4 linked regions of the Drosophila melanogaster genome follow. The protein of the gene in region 1 interacts with the protein of each later gene in a pairwise test. Each region holds a gene or a part of one and is shown on either strand. Other genes may lie near its edges.

Region 1 (5,991 bases):
GAGGCCAAGTCTGCAGCTGCCGTGTCGATGCTCGTTTTAATTTGTTTGTTTACATTTTCGGCTGCCCCCCCCACCTGCAGCCGCGGCGAAGTTTGTTCCCATCCCGCGGCTGGGCGAAATGTTTGGAAATAGAGGTCGGTCCATGGGGATTGGGTATCGGTGGGAGTAGGCTGCACCACTGGGAGCTGGGCGTGTGTTTTGGTGTTAACAACTCGACACTTCATTAATTGAAGTTGAAAAAGAGCAGCTATAAAAAGACCATTAAGCTTCAGGCCCACAACAATGCAGCAGATAGATGCCGCATGTACACACAAAGAAATTTTGTAAAGTTCTAATGCTTGCCTTGGGCATCTGATAAACTTATGTTTTATCTTTTCATATATATAAACTTCAAATGCATTTTCCGAGTGCAAATGATTTTCGAACTATCAAAGTGAACTTCGAGTGGCTGCAGTGCGCATTGAATGCAGGGATATAACAAATTGAAAGACGATGGCGGGAAACTTTCCGAGTCTCAGTTCGCATTAGACGCAAATTTGATGGCTATTGAAAAGTTCAATGGTTTCGTGCGTCTCTTGAACTGCCTCCACCAAGTTGCCTCCAAGTTTCATCCGAAGCCGAAAAGTGGCACTCAATTGAGTGTGAGAGCTTTGTTTACCACACACATGCCGAAGCAAAAAAAAAAATTTTTTGGAATGGGAAGACAGACATAGACGCATCAAAACTGGGCTAATAGAGAAACTCAATGTGAGCATATCATAATTAGAAATTTGGCAAGACGTGGCATTATCTAGAGATATTCCAATATTTCCAAACATTTAATGGGCATCGCTTAATGGCACAACTCTTGGGCAAGAACCGATCGCGGATCCATCCAAAGATCGCTCCCCCAAGCGATTGGATCGTCGTCACACATAAATAGTTCACGAGCCATCCGAAGGCAGTGGACATAAAAATAAATCTATATGCAAATGTGACTCCAGTTTAACATGCCACAGCGACAGGCAGATGGAGATGCAGGCGGCAATTCGAGGGTGAAGTCTAGGCCTAGCCAAAAATATGTAGGGTAAACACGGGTGATTCGACTACAGGAATGATAATGATAAAAAGTCAAAGTTTTAAATCTAAACCAATAATAAACCATCTATAAAATTAAGATCAATATGTTGCCATTAATAATTATTATATTTATGTAGCTGTTAACATTCGAGTATGCCCCTTTATCTACGAATACCCTATAAAAATAGTTAAATCCCGACAGTCAAGGACTCCTTTCATTGCAGGCCCATCCCAGAATCCCTGGCGCAGAGGCGTCTGCAGTTTAGTGCCTGTCTCTGCGACTTTGAATCTTACAAAATGTGACAAGTTGCGGAATTATTTTTCGCAGAAGATGTTCTTCGACTTGGGTTCTTTTTGCCCATTTAGTTGCAGTTTGGTTTAGTTCGGTTCTGTTCTGTTCTGCGTGCAGATGAGCTGAGATTGATAAGCGGCGAGGAGCGTGAACAGGCCCGAATCCGCGGATCCGCACCATCCTGGTGGTGCAGCTTGGAGGAGCCTCTGTTCCAGCGCGAGATGCAAGTGCTTAGATAAAGGCAGCGATTTATGTGGAAGCTCCTGGGAGCTGCTGGGCGGAGCAGCCGGCGATGACAACAGTAGCTCCATCCCATCGAATGCCACGTCCCATTCCGTCCTCCAGCCGCGAATAAGCCGAGGTGCCAGCAATTTAGTGGCGATTACAACCGGCAATGGCATTTTAAGTGGCCATTGTCAAGACGCGATCTGTGGGCGTGTGATAAGCGCCGGCTCCCGTGTGGGCGATCGATTCCCCAGGTGTGGGAGTGGGTGGCCCGGATGGTGGCATGGTGGCATGGTGGCAGCTCGTTGAACCAAACTTGGTAGCAGAGGTGAGAAAACACGTTCTGTACTTAGACTACTTGTTTCTGGCTATTAAGGGTCAACAATAGCTCTCTTTTCATCACTCAATAATTTATATAGCCAAAATTTAAACGTACAAAATTAGTCGTTGCACTTCATACACTTCGGACCAGGAGGATGAATCGTTCGCGGCACATACGATGGATTCCTCTTCTGAGCCACCTCCTCGGCCCACAGTTTGTTGAGATAATCCTCCAGCTTGGCCACAACATCCTCCTCTTTGTCCACGCCGTCGGAACAGGTGGCAAAATCACTGCCCGAAGATGCAGATGAAGAAGTGCTGTGGCAAACATTCGAGGACTCGCTGCAGGAGTCGTGCTTGCAGTCGATGGGACAATGGTGATTGTCCCAGTCCTCTGGGGGTTCCACAGCTTCATCATAGCTGGTATCTTGCTCCTCTTCGCCAAGCGGTTGGGAAACAGGTTGGGAAATGGCCACTGGTTCCTCCAGACGATACCACTTCACCTTGTAGGAGTCTTGGCCGCATTCGCCAAACTGCTCGCCCGTCAACTGATCGATGTTGCATTCGCAGATGAGGAAGGGCGAATTGCACTGCTGGCATCTGGGTAGATTAACCTCATGGTTGATGATCGGACGCGGTGGCTTCTTCATCCTGACCTCCTTATCCATTTGCGGAACTTGCAAGCCACAGATGATGCAGGGTTCTGGTAGATCTGCACCCTCCGACAGCTTGATCTTCATCATTTGCCTTTGGCCGGCCTTGGGATGTCCGGGAACTTCCTGCTTGGAACAGCCCTTGCAAGGACAGCCCGGCACCAGGAGGGGATCCGATCTGGTAGTCATCCGTTGATACAGCGCTGCATAAACCAGATTGATCTGCCTCTCGTAGTGCTTGTGGGCCCAAAAGAAGGCCGCCTTGTAGTTGTCGAAGATCCTGGATGTCTTGTGCGCCGCATGCATCCAAGCAGCATATTGGGTGTGCACCGCCATCGCATCCACTATGGGATTGCTGATCGTCACCGGTGGCTTGCCGTGATAGAAGGCCTTAAAGGCCCGCTTGATGATGGCATAGGTGAGCATCGCCTCCACCGGTTCCATTTCGCACTTCAGTCGCAGAGCCTGGAGCAGGTCCTCCCGATTCAAGCGACTGTCAGTAGCCGGATTTGGTGGACAATTGGTGCGCAGTCGTTCATGGTAAACGAAAGCCCTCTTAATTATCGACCTGGCAGCGCTGGATTTGCTTGTGCTGATGCCACAGATCAGCATTATCTGCGCCAGGCTCTTGGCTATATCCTCCACATTATCGTCAAACAGTTGGTAGGGATCCAGCTTTCTCCTGCAGTTGCAGCAGCACCGCTTGATTCCCCCAGGAGGAACTCCCGCCTCCTCCTGCAGTTTTCTGGCCCTCTCATAATTGTCCATTGCAATTTGGTTGTTGATGAAGTAAGGAGACAGCAAACGTATCACTTTAAATTTCACTTTTGACAAAACACAAAAATTGTAGATGCTATACACAGATTTCTGATGGACCATATAGTCGCAGACTACTGTATCGAATTCTTTGGCTATTCCATGAAAAGAAAGCTCATAAACTAACCAATACAAAAGTATTGTCAACCTATCTGGCATCCATAAACCTACCAATTTGTGAGCAAACTTGACACACAATTTGATTTGAATGCACAATCTTCGATGAAGAATGCACTTCCCATTTCGATTGGAACTAATGCCATGGCTAAGTTTACCATAATAGAACAATAATCGGTTTGTCCCAATATTTTCCCTAGCCTGTTTTAATTTGGTTATCTGACCCACTGGTGGCCCTATCTAGGATTACACACAGACCCCACACAAGAATGCATTATTTTATCTCGGGACTCGGGTCTCGGTTCTGATCGTAGCTGCAATTATGCTAAATAGATTCGAGCCGACTGACCATCGAAATAAATAAGCGCAAAGAACACGACAGAGCCAAACGATGGCTGTTGTGTCAGACCTAAATTGTTCAAATAAATTAAGTTGTAGCTTTCGAATGGATTGGGGGGATTTGGGAATTGGAGATCGGTGTCTTTGGTGTGGGGATTGGGGCAAGCAAATACGGGAACGTAAACGTTCAGAGGCCGCCGCCTGTTGCATTGTCATTTGATAAATTATGATATTTGATCAATTGTTCCGCTGCGGTGGCTGGAAGTGCTGCTGCCTCGGATATGTGGAGAAGAAGTACGTGGATGAGATGAAGACGTCTCCGCATCCATGCCCGCATCAAGTCCACCGAATGAACTTTTGTTGGGTTTACATTGTAATGGCATCTGGCGGGGCAAACACACAAACACCCAGTCAGTTAGGCAGTCGGATGGTTAGTCCCATATCCATCCATTCATCTGCATAATAGAATTTCCAGGGGTATGAGCATTGGGGATTTCGAAAGGGGGTGAGGCTGCCTCTTTATTGTGGCTAATAGGCCTCTTGGCCGCTTTGTTGTTGTGCCGCCTCAGCCGCCTTCGTTTGCATTCGCTTTGGTCACCATCACCTCACCATCTCCATCTCCATCTGTACCAGCTCACCATCAACATCTCACTCTGCCATTGGCATTTCTATGTGGATTAATGAATGGCAGCAGCTCCAAGATGGGTAGGAATAAGCTGAAGATGAAGTCACACTGGGAAAAATCGTATTCTATTCTCTTACAATATCACATCCTTGAGATATAAACTTGATTTTAGTTGTAAGAAGCAATCTAGCTATAGATTTCGTATTTTGCTCGTACTACTTATAAATGTACTTAAATCATCGACACTTGCATATATATTTTTTTTTTTTTGCTGTGCCTCAAAGTAGACATGTGTTTACCTTCCACATAGACACACACACACACACACACACATCCATTGTCCCGCGTATTTCGCACGTCTTTTTGCTGCGCTGCGCGAATTTCGTCATATACGAGTCCGGTCAGCCGTAAACTGCAACATAAACCTGCAAATCCACTCTGGGGTTTGCGCCGCGTTTCTGAGCGTCACGGTGTCGTTCCGGAATTCACGAGTGATCCAGTAAACTGGTAATAAATCAGATCAGCTGCATCAGACAATACAGCTGATAGCATTGCCAACCTTTCGCAGTCGACGAGCTGGTTAGACTGGCGTTGCCAGATCAGCGGTGCGATCGTCATTCGGCCGCGCGCTCGTTGGGCGCGAAATTCGAATTCAAATTCAAATTTGAACTAATTAAGTTGAACAAAAATTTGAAATATAACCTAAGAACTGAAGCTAGTTCTATTTCCCACGGAGCGCTGGGGACCAACAAGCCAAAGTCCCCCTTTTATATCTGATGGACAGAACAGGGGGGGGCAGTGCCCCCGACCCCAACGACCCGTTTAGGAGGAGTGGTAGGCTATCGAGATCCCCTATAAGAGGAGTCGGAACCCAAATCCAGGGAGGGGGAGGTGAGCAAGCAGGCCCCCCGCCGCCGAAAGCTAGCGACTGCAGTGCAGCTGTGGAGGTGGAGACTCTGGCCACTACAGTCTCCACGACAGCCACAAGCCTGAAGACAATGGATTTCATCAGCGTGCCGGCCCAAAGGGCGGGAGCGAAGTCCCCATCAGGATCGCCGCATCGCTCGCCAGAACTGACCACGACGCTCCAGAATGAGGACCTGCAGGGCATCCTGGACATGATGAAAGCCAAGATCACCGCCATTCTATCCTCGTTCGAGACTAGGCGTCACGTAACCAGCGAGGATAGGGGCGTGCTAGTGGACCTATCGGCGCTCAATAAGAGAGCGATTGAGTTACAGGAGGGTATCAACAAGAAGCCCCCACCAAGGAGTACTGCCACACAGACTGAGGCAGAAAAGACAAAGCGTAGCCAGGTGGCGCCACCCAGACAGGCATTACCGAATGTGCAGGTCCGCAAAACGGACAACCATCGATCTGCCGCGAAATCCACCGGGAAGGCGTTACCCACGACGGCTGACTCCAAACCGGAAAGTTATGCGTCTGTCGCCAAGGACGCTAACAAGGACGAGGAATGGGCTAAGGTGAAGCCCAAGCGCCTGCGCAAAAAACCTGAGGCGCTAATCCTGAAAAAAACGGGTGAG
Region 2 (5,017 bases), on another chromosome or scaffold:
ATTGCGCATGCGTGGCGCGCAGCAAGCTTCTGTTGGGGCCCTTTGGCTTTTGTTTTTAGCTGCCCGCGTCTGTCGCGCGTTTGGCGTGCCAAGCATGCGCACACATATTCAATTACACGGCCAGCAACGTCGGTTGCCCAGCAGCAGCAGCGATTATAGCGATGCATTGACAATAAGCCAACCCCGATGCGTGCCCAAATGGTTGCCCCTACTTAATAAAAAGTGGAAAAAACAACAACAAAAGCCCGGAGCTGGCCATGTGCAGCTCGAGAAATTTTCTCACAGTCGCCAGAAAAATTGTAACGGCCCGTTGTTCAGCACACTCTCAGCACGCAGTGCACTGCACACACACACTTCCTGCCGCAGCCAGCGTTCCTCAAACCGGCCACGTATATTGTTTATATAGTTAACGAATGCGATACATTTAATCTTTAGTGTGTGTCAATTTGCCGTACAGTCATTTAGTTTGCATGTCCCTCGTCGATCCATCGAACAATCATCCCTTTTTCTGGGACCTGGGTCCCACGATGATGATGTCCCGACGTGAGCAGGAATACCATACGCGTATATGTATGCCACTTAGCGATGGACGATCCCAACCGATGCCATCCGAAACGAAACCCAGGGCCCAAGTGTTCAACAGAAGCTACAATTCAGCATTCATAATTGACAAGAGCAGGAGCGAGGGAGAGGGCGATATGTGTAGGGCCCACGATGGACAAGAAAAAATTAAATAAAATAAAGGGCAGGTGGTAGTTTTTTCAGCACTACCCGTGACTCGCACTAGCAGCTCGGTCAGATTTACAGTGGTTCGAATGGAACGAAAATTGGTTGAAAACAATTTAGGGTCTTGTCACAATCTTTAGATGCTTTTAGCTACAAACTACAAAATGGTTTCTTTTTTTAGAAATTTTTTAAACATCATAACCTGACAAGAACATCTTTTCCAAATATTTCTTTATTTCACCCATCTGGGTACAGTAATCCCATACATAGATATTCTGTAAACTGCAACCTTCACGAACCTTAATGTTTTTCAAGACTCAGGTTCCCACTCACCGTCGCAGCTAACAAAATTATCCGTAGCAAGTAGAAAACACCTTTCACAAAAGTCCCTATACTCGGACTATATATGCCTAGAAAAACCTCTAGGAACAAATGTACCTTTCCAACATAGCAGATAGTTTAGTAAAAATTCTTTACAAGTAGAAACACATCGAGAAATCCATAAACACTTACTCTAAAACCTGCAAGTCGTAAAATTGCACGCATGTTCCGTTTGGTAAAACCCCAAAAATCACATTCGAAAACTCACATTCCCACGACTTTGAATAGAGGTTCTCAAATTAACCGTAGCAAGTTGAGAACAGGCAACAAAAAATCCGTAAGATACTGATTTCCAAACCTGCGAGTCCCAAAATTGCACACATCTTCGCCTTGGAAAACCCCATTTCCGACATCCCAAAACTCGCATTCCCACGATCCCTACAGAAATTGCTAAAACTTTGTCTAGCAAGTAGATAACAGTATGCGTAAATTCCGTAAACCTTAAATTTCACGTAGTTGGAAAAGCCTTGAAGAATTCATTCAAGCAAGGCACCCTCAAAATTCCCGCATGTGTTTCATCGGTTTGGCCCACTGTGCCATGTGCATAAGGGCTCGGAACTCGGAGCTCGGACTCGGGACTCGCACACGGGCTACCTCCGATTATAACTTATAACACCAACGAGCGAGAAAAATCTTGTGGGAAACTTGAGGGCAAAGTGTTTCCCACGATTCGAATGTCAGTGGAAAGGAAAACAGAGAAGCAGCATGTGCAACCACCGTCGCACCACCACCACTGCACTATCGCATCTTCATCCCCTGCCGAGACTCACTTACACCGAACACCAGTGGCCATAGCAATAGTACTGAGAACATATTTAAAGTTCTAGATAATGTTTATATTTTCAAAATCACTACTATTAAGAAGTGTGCTAATTTAATTTTTTAGGTGTAAACGTATAACATTATGTTAATTTCTTTTTGTTTAATAAAACGACATTTAAGTGCTTTAAGGGAAACCCATTTGAAGTAATTGTTAAAAACGTAACGTACTTCTTAGGTATATAACAACAAATTTGTATATTCGCTCGAAGAACTATAGCTGCTTTAAACACATTTCTCATACTATTTTTACCGCAGGTGTGTTCCAAACTTGTTTGTGGAGAAAAACCCACCACCGAAAATGCAGGCGAGAGGATCGTGTCCCAGTGACTGAGTAAAAGTAGTTTGCTCCGCAGGTGGTGGTTCTTCGGAGGCTCCGCAGCTCTCTCTTCTCTCTTTCTCCGAGCAGCGTGCGCTGAGCACGAGACGCTCTCGCGGCGGCACGTGCAGCTATAAAAGCAGCGGTAACCGGAGACGAATGCAACATTTCGAACGCAATCGTCGTGCAGTCAACATCTCAGGATAACCTCCTCCGAAAGATCGAAGAAGTTCTTCAACAAGTCGTTCTTCCATTTACCTAAACGCAACAAATAAACAAAACAAACACACAATGGCCACCAAATACGAGATGTCGAAAACCTATCAGTACCGCAAGGTGATGAAGCCCTTGCTGGAGCGGAAGCGTCGTGCCAGGATCAACAAGTGCCTGGACGAGCTCAAGGATCTGATGGCCGAGTGCGTTGCTCAGACTGGCGATGCCAAATTCGAGAAGGCCGACATCCTGGAAGTCACCGTGCAGCATCTCCGCAAGCTGAAAGAGTCTAAGAAGCATGTTCCGGCCAATCCCGAACAGAGTTTCCGTGCTGGATACATCCGGGCAGCCAACGAAGTGTCCCGCGCCCTGGCCTCCCTTCCCCGAGTGGATGTGGCTTTTGGAACCACACTGATGACCCATCTGGGCATGCGTCTCAACCAACTGGAGCAGCCCATGGAACAACCGCAAGCCGTCAACACTCCACTCAGTATCGTCTGTGGATCCAGCTCTAGCTCCAGCACCTACTCCAGTGCCAGCTCCTGCTCCTCCATCAGTCCCGTTTCCAGTGGATATGCCAGCGACAACGAGTCTCTGCTCCAGATCAGCAGCCCCGGACAGGTGTGGCGTCCCTGGTAAACAAAGATCTACTTGGAAGGACTGAATTCCCGACGGGCAATCACGCAATTGGAACCGCAGCTTTAGAAAAAATGCTTTACAATGATCCTCATTTATTTGTTACGTTACCAAGTTTTAGGTTTCTAAGTTAAGTCTGTGATAGGGCACGCTTTATTAACTTTTGTCTTAAATCAATCGAGCAGAAGTCTGTTTTTTACTCTACATATATACAAATGTTTACCAGCTAAGAGATCTCAAGAACACAATATGAAAAGATACAAAATGAAAAACTTAAATACAAATCAAAATATGAAATGAAATTATACAAGAATCTTATTATTTGGGGAATCTATTTTACAGCACAATCCAATAGGGGATATTGAACTTCAGTATTTGTCTTTAAATTCCAATAGGAAGAAGATTCCATTGAAAATATTTAATGTTGGTATGCGCGAACTTTAAGGTCCAATATAATAAAACGATCGTGTGCACTAGCTTATTTAGGACACGTGTAAAAAAATGGACTTCCCATAAATTATGTTCATTATCTTAAAGCCCATCATTATCCTAAACGAGCTATATTAATAACAAGTTTCAATAACAGTTAAACATAATAGCAAAACATGCTCCACTAATGTGCACTTAGTTGTCAAGCATGCATTTAATAATAAAAAGGAATTTAATTTCATATTTTTAATGGTCGTTATTTTTCATTTGCACGATGTGTTTACTTATATTCTATTTCAGTAACTATTTTGTCAACAGACTATGAAATGAAAGTATTTGACATCCTTTAGCACAATACAATACATTGTTATAAACCTTAAATGCGGCATTATAATTTTTCCACCAATAAAAGGTCAATAAGAATGGTCAAGAAACATACAAATGAGTTTCAGCACGCGTCTCGATTACTTATCACACATTATACCCTATTATATTTAATCCCTTAAAATTTATTCTTTTACAATTAATCAATTAAATTACATCACATATTGAGGGTTGCAATAGCATTACGTAAAATCATAGGTAAGTGTATTCAATTCCAAATTCATACCACATTATTAACCTCTGACACCCAAAATACTATAAGAAGTGAGAGTATCCCTCCCCATTACAATAATCAATGACGTTGTTTTCCACCCATAAAATGTCAATATTAAGAACCCTCAAGATTTGTAAGGGAGATATACAAATCCATCTCAATTATTAAGTGAGGAAGTAGCATACCCTAGGCGGTTGCAAGGGAGGGACACAAATCCCATAGGTAGGCATCGATGTCAGAGGTCGATTAGTTTCCTAATAGAAACAGAGTTTATAAAAGTTAACTCGAAAGTGAAATTTACTCAATGGAATTCTAATACACCATACTTGCATGCGAAACCCAAGATTCCGAAACCAAAAGCACTTAATATTAGCTAATTAAAAATGGGTTTAGAAAGATACGCCAGACATTATAAGTTCCTATTAACTAAATTCAAAGAAAACTTTTGTATCCTATGATTACTTTAACAATCTTATTAGGATGAGCCACACATTGAACAAACCACATTTACCATAAGACAAGATATTTGAAAAGTGCACATCAATTAACCGGTGAAAAATTACTAATTACCAATTAGGGGGTTGCAGGAAGTTAACTATGTGCATCCCATAGGTAGACATTCCGGCACAAGGCCCACCTCACCTCAGCCTGGGCATTGAGTACTCAACCTCGGCCACGAGTGTGGCACGCGGGGCACACTTTCTGCGCCCGTTTGACCCACGTCCCCCTGCCAACCACCCAAAAACCCGAGATCAGACAGCCCAAACGATGGAACGATCGAACAACCAAGGCGACCCGGCACGAAGCCAATATGCCACATCCACTAATTGTGTCCAATAAACACTCGTCGACGGGGCACTGTGGGAACGGAAAGAGGAGATCTCAGAGTTCGCAGT
Region 3 (3,823 bases), on another chromosome or scaffold:
TTGTGATATCGGCTCAGAACAAGAGTCGCCAGCCAGTGCGCGACTTTCAGTTCGAGGCCAGCGTGAAGAAGGTGAGCGAATCAGAGCTGGAGAAGATTACTGGTCATCGAGGTGACCGGACTAACAAGCTATCATTCTATTCCGCAGCCCTGCAAGGTGCGCCTGTTGACGCCGACGGACAGCCAAATGCCGCCGCACAAGCCCTTCCGCCCGGCCACGCCCATCAACCAGGTGATGCTCCTGCTAAATCCGACAGGCAAGGCCGTGGACGTAACATGCATTGTGGGCTACAAGCTGGGCGACGATCCGGATCCCATCAAGGAATCGATTGTGGCCAAAGGCATTGACTATGTGGACTAAAATACCCCGACATATAAGTATCACCCGCTCCCGTCCACTGAAAGCGCAGGAGGAAAATGAAAAGAACGAAAGACAGTCAATTTTCCCGCATCTATGTTGTGCTCCCCATTATCTTAAAGATACTTTTGGTTTTTCAATTTCTGTATTGTATGTGTATGTACGCTGATAAGATTTTTATTCAAATTGCATTTTGCATACAAACGATTTAGTCGTAATATAATTATGTATCAAAGGTTTATAAATTATGAAAAAGTCGCTACAAAAGCCAAGCGCTCATTTTCAGAGGTATTCTCATTAATCTGTTCAATTGTTGTGTGGATGTTGTTTTAGTTGATGCTTCAGTTCAGTTCAGTTGTCGTGTTGCCCATATATGGATTCATTGCTACTCTCCCCACTGTTTCAAAAAATGCCAAATTATTTGTTCCTGGCGGATTGTCTCGCTGGGTTGGCGGTTTTGCGGATGATTGTACATCTGAGATATTTGTTGATTTAACTGGCTTAAGATAGATCGTAATTAAGTTCGGAAGTGAATTAATGAGCACTGCTGGCAGTTTTTCAAACATTAAGGATATCAATTTTTTTGAGACTATGAATTACCATTTTATATATATGCATCTAATTGGGAAACGTAAGCTGAACTAAAACATTGAGTCTAATTAAGAGTAGAAACTAAAACCGCGATGCTTAACAAACCATTACAATTGCCATTCATTTTGTGTGGACTTAAGCCAGCTAATTGGTAGAATGACTAAAACTAGTAGGCCAATCTTTGGGGAAAGCCAAATGAAAATCCGCCACCAGGAGCCACTTACAAAGTGCCTAGACTCTAGCCGCTAGCTACTACTACTACTACTACAACTACTGCTATTTGCCCACGATCTCGTCCTTGAAGGACAGGGCAGTGATGGCCTTGGTGTGACCAGTATAATCCCTAATCGAACTCTTTGTCTGCAGCTTCCACAGTCGTGCAATGCCGTCGGATGAGGCTGTGAACAGCCATTTAGAATCGGCGCTAAAGGCGGCATCCCACACCCAATAGTTCTCGATGCACAGCTCGCGCCATTTGCTAAAGTCATCCGTCTTCCAAATGCACACAGTGCCATCGCCGGATGTCGTCAGCAGTAGCCTGGAATCGGGACTGAATTTGCAGCGCAGTATGTAGCGAGAGTGGGCCGGAATTTTCCTGTTCGGCCGCAGCGTGCTCATCTTCTGATCCTGACTGGTCAGCGACCAGATGTAGCAGTTGCCCTTGTTATTGGCCGCCGCCAAGTATCTGCCATCCGGCGAGATGGCAACATCCTGAATGGATGCGTCCACCTCGGGCACGATGCGTTCGTGCCGCTCCGACTTGACGTCCCACAGAAAGACGCTGCCATTTTGTGAGCCCATGGCGATCTCCACCTGGTTGGGATGCAAACAGGCGGCATTTACCGGCGCCTCACAATCAAAGATCCGGGAACAGTGTGGCGGTGCGGCAATCATGTCCCAGATCCGCACGTGATGATCCTCGCCGGCGGTGAACATCCAATTGCCGTCCTCTTGGAAGCCAAGTCGCGTCACATTCTTTTGCACGCCATCGAAATTGATCACCGGTGCGGTGCAGTTGGACTCCAGGTCGTACAGCCGGATGCACTGGTATCCGCACGCCGCCAGTCGCGTCTTATCCGGTGTCCTGTCTAGCGCATTCACTTGCTGCAAGTTAAAGCATGTTCGTTAACCGGAAAATGCACGAATCGGTTTATTCCTACCGAGGTCTCCACGAATCTCATCGTCTTAATGCAGTTGCCCGTGTGCGCCTGCCACACCTTAATGGTGTGGTCATAACCACCGGTGGCCAGGATCAGCTGCTGTTGGTCCCCCATCCTGTGATTGCACAGATTAATTGACAATTTCCGCGTTTTTTTGCCCCAATGTTTTCATTTCACCAGACCTATCGGTCCATTGGTCCTCGATACGCGCCTATCGCGCTTATCGATAAGTGGCGCGGTGCTGGTAAGCGCGAAAATATATTCTTATTAGAATAAAACCTAAAGCGCAGCAACAAAATCGTTTTCAAAAAACACTATTAATTGATATCAGTATAATTTTAGGTTTTATTACAAAAATGCGTACTGATTTACATATCAAGTCTTTCTTTTATCCGCATAAATAATCATTAGATTAGATATAACACAAAAATTATGTCAAATCAAAAAAATTTTAACTGAAAAATTTTGATAATTTACGGTACCTGGTTTATATAATCGAGATATTTTCCATATAAAGTATTATAGAATTATCTTAATAATATTTATTATCCCAAAACTCGGACATTAGCAGAAAATAAAAAAAAGAAACTGACGCAGCTTTGGTTATTGGGAAAAATGTTTATTGGTTGAATAACTTAGCAACTGGGATTAGTCCGGGACCAGCGTAACGTACAAGGATTGGGTCTGAGTGGAGTGAGCGGCGTTGGCCATCTACTGCTGTGCGGTGGGAGCAGTTTCCGCTGCCGTGCGGTTGGCATCCTCCGGTTTCATGGCGGGGAACAGCAGAACCTCCTACAAAAAAAAAGAAGCCTCATTTAGCAACGCTTGCAATAAGTTAAAGACCAAGTGTAGACCCACCTTGATGTTGTTGGAGTCCGTGAGGAACATGGCCAGGCGATCGATGCCCATGCCAAAACCACCGGTGGGCGGCAGTCCGTACTCCAGGGACGTGCAGAAGTTCTCGTCGACCAGCTGGGCCTCATCATCGCCGGCCGCCTTGTCGCTGGCCTGCTGCTCGAAACGCTCGCGCTGCACAACCGGATCGTTCAACTCGGTATACGCGTTGCAAATCTCCTTCTTGGCCACAAACAGTTCGAAGCGCTCCGTCAGGCCGGGAATACTGCGATGGTACTTGGCCAGCGGCGACATGATCTGCGGATGCTCACAGATGAACGTTGGATTCACGCAAAACTCCTCGATGAATTCGCCGACGAGCTTGTCCAGCAGGCGGGCAGTGGTGCGCGGAGCTGGGCACTCGACCTGGTGCTTAGCGCACAGCTGAGACAGGAACTGATTCGTCTCTGGCGAATTGAAGGTGTCGGCCGCGGGGAACTTCACCTGCAGCTTCTCTTCCAGCGTTTTGATCATGGATACGCGCTTAAAGGGCGGCGTAAAGTCAAGTTCTTGCTCAGGTCCCTCTGGACCCTCCGGATGATAGATGACCTTGTAGGAGCCACGGATCGCTTTCACCATTCCCGAGACCAACTGCTCGGTGATATCCATAATGTCAGCGTAGTCGGCATACGCCATGTAGAACTCGCACGTGGTGAATTCAGGATTGTGGGTGAGGTCGATGCCCTCGTTGCGGAACTGCCGTCCGATCTCGTACACACGATCGAGTCCACCCACCACCAGCATCTTGTGATACAGCTCCGGAGCAATGCGCATGAACAGATCCATCTTGAGGTCATTGTGATGCGTCACGAAGGGCTTGG
Region 4 (6,265 bases), about 19 Mb from region 1:
CGAGTCGATAGCCTGGCTATCATGCCTAATTGCCGAAATCACTACCCCCAACCAGATCTCGCCACCTCCACGAGACGAGGGACCCCAAGCATTTGTTTGACGCCATTTCATTCTTTATTGACGCGGCCAATTAAGAAGGCAGCGTTGTTGATTTGATTGCGAGGCGAATATGAATGCGACTGGAATTCCTCCATGAGTTCTAAATAAAGCTGGAGTCCGAAAAGTTGCCAGATGTAAAGAGCGGCGGCTCTCAGTCGCTGGGAACTCCAAGAAGTGGAGGCGATTTTCTAATCTTGGCCCAAGTTACAGACTCTATTGCACAAGGGGCTTATCAGAACCAAGCCAAAAACTTAAAACTGGACGCACAACATACAGCAAGATCTACAGCGGCAACAGTCTGGCAACGAAGCGTATACGTAATGCCAAGCAAAGTTCCATCCATTTAACGCTCTCGGCTCGTTTCAGTTCTCGGGCAGGTGTCAAGCGACGTACACACGAAACGCCGACGCGGTCACAATTCCAGAATATCATATACATGCTATATATGTGTATGCTCAAGTGGCTAATTTACATACGCGTTGCGACCCGTCTATTTACCTGAACCTGAGCTGTCTGGACTACACTCTTTAACATTTCCTTACGGAAAGCGAGTGTACAAAGTCACAACAAATTTTCAAGACATATTCTCGGTATATATATATTTCTGTATTCAAACATATCGCCATGCTGGACCCCATTTCGGACGCACCGCTGGTCTTGGCCTACGTCTTTATGTCGCTGCTGGTGCTCATTGTGTGCTTCATACTGGTCAATGTGGTCCACAAGCTGTATCGCAGTCTCAACGGCGAGGTATCAACGGGGCTGGTTTCTCCGGCACAGCAGCTGAAGACCTCCATCATGGAGCTAGACGCCATGAAGACCGGTTAGGATGGGTGCAGCGCAGCTGGCTATGAGAGGCGCGAGAATCTCAAGTCTCAGTCTCCGATGTCAGAGCTCCGGTTTTAATTCGGGCGATTGGAGCGATGTACGACGAACGACAGCTGCTGACCACCCACACGCACGAACCACACAACCTAGACGCCTGTTGATATGTTAAGCTATGCAACTAGACTAGACGTAAATAAATACACGAAACTAGGCTTACGAGTAGAAATTAACTACATTAAACGCGCTGGTCCTCTAGTCACTTAATTGTTTGTTTTTGCCCTAAGGTTAGGTTACATGTACATTGATATTGTAAATAAAATAACGTGAACGATAACTGAACTGCAATTAAGGTAGATTGGGGGCAAGTACAAAGCACTTAACCGATCCGTCCAGACAGTAAAACGTCGCCTGATCGAACGATGCGTAGAAAAGGCACAACAGCCTTATCGTTGCAGTATCGAGACGTATAATTTGTGAGTCAATCAAATGCGTGATAAGGATCCCTGACTTAGTCATAGATTTATACATAGTTTATTTAAAATAGCATGTTCATCTTTAAATTTGCAATAAGAGCGCAGTTTGTTGTTGTGGTAGCTGAATGAGTACGGACTGCAAGAGACGTCAGCTTTCGGGCCCAGGGCCTCGCGGCTTCGACAAGTTCTGGTAAACGGTGTTGGGGATTGGATGAGCGTAGAAATGATAGCAGCAGGCTGCTGGTGGTTCTGTGGCAGTGGTATCATCAATCTGTGGGATCACTGTAACAAAGGAAACATTACTAACAATTCTCGGTTCGTTTTTATTCCAAATCTCACCCCGAGAAAGTCTTTGGGTGCTGCGACGTTAGGTCATCATCCTGGCTGCCAAGAGCCTTTTTCACATACTGCCAAATGGAATTTAAACAAATAACATATAACCAATAACCTCACAATAGAACCTACCATTGGATTTAAAATGATCTCCTCCTCCATTTTGTTGATCTGCCTAACTTGATCCAGAACGTGTGTTATATTATTTTGCACGTTGAGGAACATCTCCGGTGAGTTGTATTTCTCTGGGTCGTCTTTGAACAACACCATACCGTCCTTTTGATTGATGCTGGCATATATTTCACCCGATTTTATCTGCAATTAGGTATTATCTCGGTATAAATAAAAAACGAAAAAAGAAGACAACTTCTTACCATGTTGAGAATGTAACGCTCTGCTTCGACTGCGCTGGCAAGTTGGACACGACTGGCCACATCGCTCAGGGAAAGGGTCAAGAAGGTTTTAGTGAGCCGCTGGATGTTTCGCTTGTACAAGGAGGTAGCCACCTAAGGGGATACCCAATATTAAAGTTTCATAGTTAGATGGTTCTGCCAGTTATCTTATTAAAAAACTGTGTTGTTTAGAATACAGAAAAATCTAAATTTAATTTCCACCGGAAATAATTTTATGTTTATATTATGTTTATACTTCCGCATAAATTTAATTATTTTTTTTTTATTTGAAACGGTGAGTAATTAAAAGTTCAATTTGTAGCACTGTTCAACCTTGAAAAGAATTGGGTGTTTTTAATTTTTTTTTCGAATACCGTCTTACTTTTTACATACGGAAGCCACAGATTAGAAAAGAACCAGGAATGACCCTTAAATACTTGCCTGCTTGGCCAGTCCCATATTGTTATCACGCGTAAATGCTTCACTGTACTTGAGTATGATAATGCGCAGCTCTTCGCTAGACGAATTCGCGTACACATTGACCAGGTCGTGGTAGTGATTGGCCATCGGCTTCATAAAACGACCAATGACCTGTGTGTTTTTTGGTATATACGCTATCTGCAACCGACACAAGATTTTCCGATTGAGAGACTGATATATAAACGGAACTAAATTGTTGTCCAGCTTACCTTGCCTTCGACGATGAGTGAAACCATGAGAAATTTTTTGTAGGCCTCCAGCATGATGTGCGACATGGCCATTGCCGGAGTGGTGATGCAGACTTCGAAGAAGTACAACGCACGCTCGTAGTTCTTCACCGCCGTGTAGATCATGCCGCCGTAGTAGAAGTACAGCAAGAAGTACTTGGCATCGTTGTTGGCATCCTAAAAAATTAATCTATGAGTTCTAGTAGCCCAGAAGTTCATTTTCAACCGTGAATACCGCGTGCTGGGACTGCTGCTGCTGTTGCGTCTTGCACTCGGCTGCCACGGTGGAGATGTCCGTGATGTCCGCGTCCAGATACGGCAGCACCACACTGAAGTTTTTCGCCTTCAGGCTGAGCAGGCAGAGATCGGCGTGTATGGGAGTTAACTGGGTTTCCAACTGTCGAATCTGGTCGATGGCGCGCGAAATGATGCGTATGCCCAGGATGCTGAGGTTCTTTTGCACCACAAACTCGGTAAACAGATGGCATGTTTCGTAAACTGAATGGGATATGTGATTACTTTTAGGGTACTTTTGGAACAGAAGATTCATGTCTCACAGGCGCACACCGCATAGCGCAGCTGCTCGTTATTGTTGCGCTGCACAAAGTCCCGCATCAGCTGGATAAGTTGTACCGGCTCCGGATTCGCGGTGGACGCACTGTGCAGTTTGGCCAGGAGCACATAGAGCACGCCCAGCGAGTGCTGCTGCATGTCTAGCGTCTCCAGCACGTTGTCCAGAATGCTCCAGTTGCGGGCTAGCAGCGACAGCGACTCCGGCAGCTCCTCGGCCAGCTCCCGATAGCTTCCTGTGATGAAAAGCCAGCCAGCAAAGTTAGTTGCGAATCGCTTTAATATCAAAACAAAGGCGGCAACGAGCCCGGTTTCTTGAGGATCGTTCTTCGCCGGTCGGCCAACTTACCGGACGCACTCAGTGTGCGCACTTGATTCACATAGTTTTCCAGCGCGCTGCCCATTTTAGGTAACTCCGAGACTACTTTTTGGCCTATTAACTTGCAAAACTGCGAAAAATAATTTCGCGAAATAACAAATGACTGCCGACGGATTAGAGCTGGGAATAAAACGATGAATATTCGGTGCTGTCGATTTCTTATCGATTAGTGGCCTAAAGACAGCGTTGTTCTACACTGGCTCTGTAATAACGCGCCATCTATAACTTATAACACTATCACTCAGCTGGAAAAATTTAGAACAGGCACACAAAAATTAAAGGATTAAGACACTTGATGCTCTTCTTTGTACTCTATACTATATAAATTTAATTCGCGCACTTACCATTAGAATCAGCGTTATGCCATGTTTATAATTTAATTTATGAAATTTTAAGAAAATTATTCTAAAACAACTAGTTCAAATTTCGATTAGAATCAGCGTTATGCCATGTTTATAATTTAGTTTATGAAATTTTAAGAAAATTATTCTAAAACAACTATTTCAAATTTCGATAGTGCAGCCGCGATAGTGCTCACTATTTTCGATAACACTTTGTTGCTGTTATTGAATTGCTGTTAATATCCCAATACGAAATGTAACTAATATAAAATGGAAAATTCTGCGCGAATCGTATATGTGTGCAGTCTCTGCCTTCGTCAATATGATCTCCAGGAGGATCTTCGAGGACATCTCGTCTACTTTCACGGCTATGAGCCCATCTCAACGCCCAGTGTCAAAAACAAAACTGCGAAGACTTCAACTAAGGAACAAACTGCAGCCGGCAGCAACAGCCAGGATAAGCAAACCGTTGTGGAGCGATCGGAGAACTCGGAACCCCCGGCAAGTGAACTGCAGCCCATGCCTTTCAAGGACTTTCGGCTGGTGCTAAGGGCCAACATGTTAGAGCCGTATGTATGTCCATATTATTACCATAAGCTTCTGACAAACTCGTTTGTTAAAGGTGCTCCTTTGGAAAGGAATGCCCCTTCAAGTTCCAAGATGCTACCAAAATGGAGCTCCACTGTAGTTGCCATAAGGGTGGCAGTTTTTCCTGCTGCGAATGTGGCATGGAACTGCCCAACTGGCGGCGGTGCTCGGCTCACCTGTGGAAAGCCCACCAGGTGGATGTGGACCTACTAGTGTGTCCCGTTTTCGAATGCAACTACAAGTCGCCCATATCCGCTCTCGTGTGGCGCCACATGCAGGTTCACAAAAAGTGGCGACCCAGGGTGCTCCGGTCACTGGCTGCCGTTCAGCGGAGAAGAAAGCTCAAGGAACAGTCCGCAGAGATGGCCGCGCAACCTGCTGCTCTGCCACCATCGTCAAAGAAAAACAAATACTATGCCGAGAAGACTTGCGAGATTTGCAATCGCAAGTTTGTCAACGGTAAAACGCTCTCTAAACACGTGAAGACTGTTCACAACAAAATCAAGCCATTTATCTGCAATGTGTGTGGCAAAAAGACGGCTCGCAAGGCTAGCTTAATAGTGAGTTCAGATAGCACTTTACGATCTTCTTGCTACCTAATACTCTTTCCAGATTCACATGCGTCAGCACACGGGCGAGAAGCCGCTGCAATGTGGCGAATGCAAGTTCTCCACTCGCGATCCCAGTGTCCTGCACAAGCATCGGCAGCGTCATGATAGCCAGGACACAAGGAGCAGCCTGAAATGTAGTCAGTGCGACTACTTCTGCATCCAAGCCAATGCTCTTAAGCGCCACATGCGGCTCAATCATGCCGAAGCCTATAGGGACTTGTGCTGTGATATCTGCAGCTTCACCTCAATTAATGTAGAACGACTACGAGCCCACAAACAGGATCATCGACAGGGCTTGATCACAAATTGTGAGGATTCTATGGATGCACGTGCCGCTGGCTTCAAGTATCCTCGAAAAGTGGGCGACAAGAACGGGGAGGTATGTCCCCTGATCTTCTCATCATCTTTTATCATTTGTATAAGCTACAGTTTATTTTGCAGATTTCAGCTGACTGTTTTATGCCGTTGGAGAGCGTGGATTCATTGCCCCATGAACCAGCTCTGGATACGGGTGGTGTAACCATACCAGCTCCTCCATCTGAAGATACTCAATTTCCCACGTACTTAAAGGACTAAAATTATAACATTTTAAGTTGATAGATTAGGGGTAAGCGTTGAGTTGATTCACTTCCCATTTTTTATTGATTACTTTGTTTTTATGTCCTATGTATTTATGTACAATTCAATTTGTTGAATATGGCGTGTCCAATGCGCTGTAAAGAGTTTTGTATAAAATAATGTTCTCATGCAGTTTGTTTTGGGGATTTAAATGCTTGTTTATTAAGTTGTTCAGTTTTCCATTTAAATTTAATATCATTTTAGAATCTGATATGATTTTTTTGTTCAACATTCGAATTATTTAGTCATGCTGGTTTACCGTGTTCCGTTTAATTATCAGTTACGCTTTACTTTAAACTAATTTAAAATTTAAAAATCTACTCTGC

What was found.
Region 2: the proteins of CG9173 (region 1) and E(spl)m7-HLH interact in a two-hybrid assay, tested with the Drosophila melanogaster proteins (one large-scale study listed by BioGRID).
Region 3: the proteins of CG9173 (region 1) and Lst8 interact in a two-hybrid assay, tested with the Drosophila melanogaster proteins (one large-scale study listed by BioGRID).
Region 4: the proteins of CG9173 (region 1) and CSN3 interact in a two-hybrid assay, tested with the Drosophila melanogaster proteins (one large-scale study listed by BioGRID).

What each region holds. Positions count from the first base shown.
Region 1 is NT_037436.4:1,420,045-1,426,035, forward strand, and holds CG9173 (uncharacterized protein), read right to left. Parts: upstream 3,428-5,991; 5' UTR 3,319-3,427; coding exon 2,017-3,318; 3' UTR 1,155-2,016; downstream 1-1,154.
Region 2 is NT_033777.3:26,034,627-26,039,643, forward strand, and holds E(spl)m7-HLH (enhancer of split m7, helix-loop-helix), read left to right. Parts: upstream 1-2,411; 5' UTR 2,412-2,536; coding exon 2,537-3,097; 3' UTR 3,098-3,393; downstream 3,394-5,017. UniProt on the Drosophila melanogaster protein: Participates in the control of cell fate choice by uncommitted neuroectodermal cells in the embryo. Transcriptional repressor. Binds DNA on N-box motifs: 5'-CACNAG-3'.
Region 3 is NC_004354.4:9,603,654-9,607,476, forward strand, and holds Lst8 (Lst8), read right to left. Parts: upstream 2,317-3,823; 5' UTR 2,223-2,316; coding exon 2,109-2,222; intron 2,053-2,108; coding exon 1,225-2,052; 3' UTR 501-1,224; downstream 1-500. Other genes in the region: Gga (Golgi-localized, gamma-adaptin ear containing, ARF binding protein), read left to right, coding at 1-71, 148-360; LysRS (Lysyl-tRNA synthetase), read right to left, coding at 2,820-2,900, 2,967-3,823. UniProt on the Drosophila melanogaster protein: Subunit of TORC1 and TORC2, which regulate cell growth and survival in response to nutrient and hormonal signals. Essential for TORC2-mediated regulation of cell growth and phosphorylation of Akt1.
Region 4 is NT_037436.4:20,837,659-20,843,923, forward strand, and holds CSN3 (COP9 signalosome subunit 3), read right to left. Parts: upstream 3,919-6,265; 5' UTR 3,807-3,918; coding exon 3,752-3,806; intron 3,639-3,751; coding exon 3,390-3,638; intron 3,331-3,389; coding exon 3,068-3,330; intron 3,010-3,067; coding exon 2,815-3,009; intron 2,744-2,814; coding exon 2,567-2,743; intron 2,240-2,566; coding exon 2,108-2,239; intron 2,049-2,107; coding exon 1,866-2,048; intron 1,808-1,865; coding exon 1,740-1,807; intron 1,683-1,739; coding exon 1,667-1,682; 3' UTR 1,438-1,666; downstream 1-1,437. Other genes in the region: CG13255 (uncharacterized protein), read left to right, coding at 724-927; CG11456 (uncharacterized protein), read left to right, coding at 4,393-4,691, 4,745-5,270, 5,323-5,700, 5,763-5,897. UniProt on the Drosophila melanogaster protein: Component of the COP9 signalosome complex (CSN), a complex involved in various cellular and developmental processes.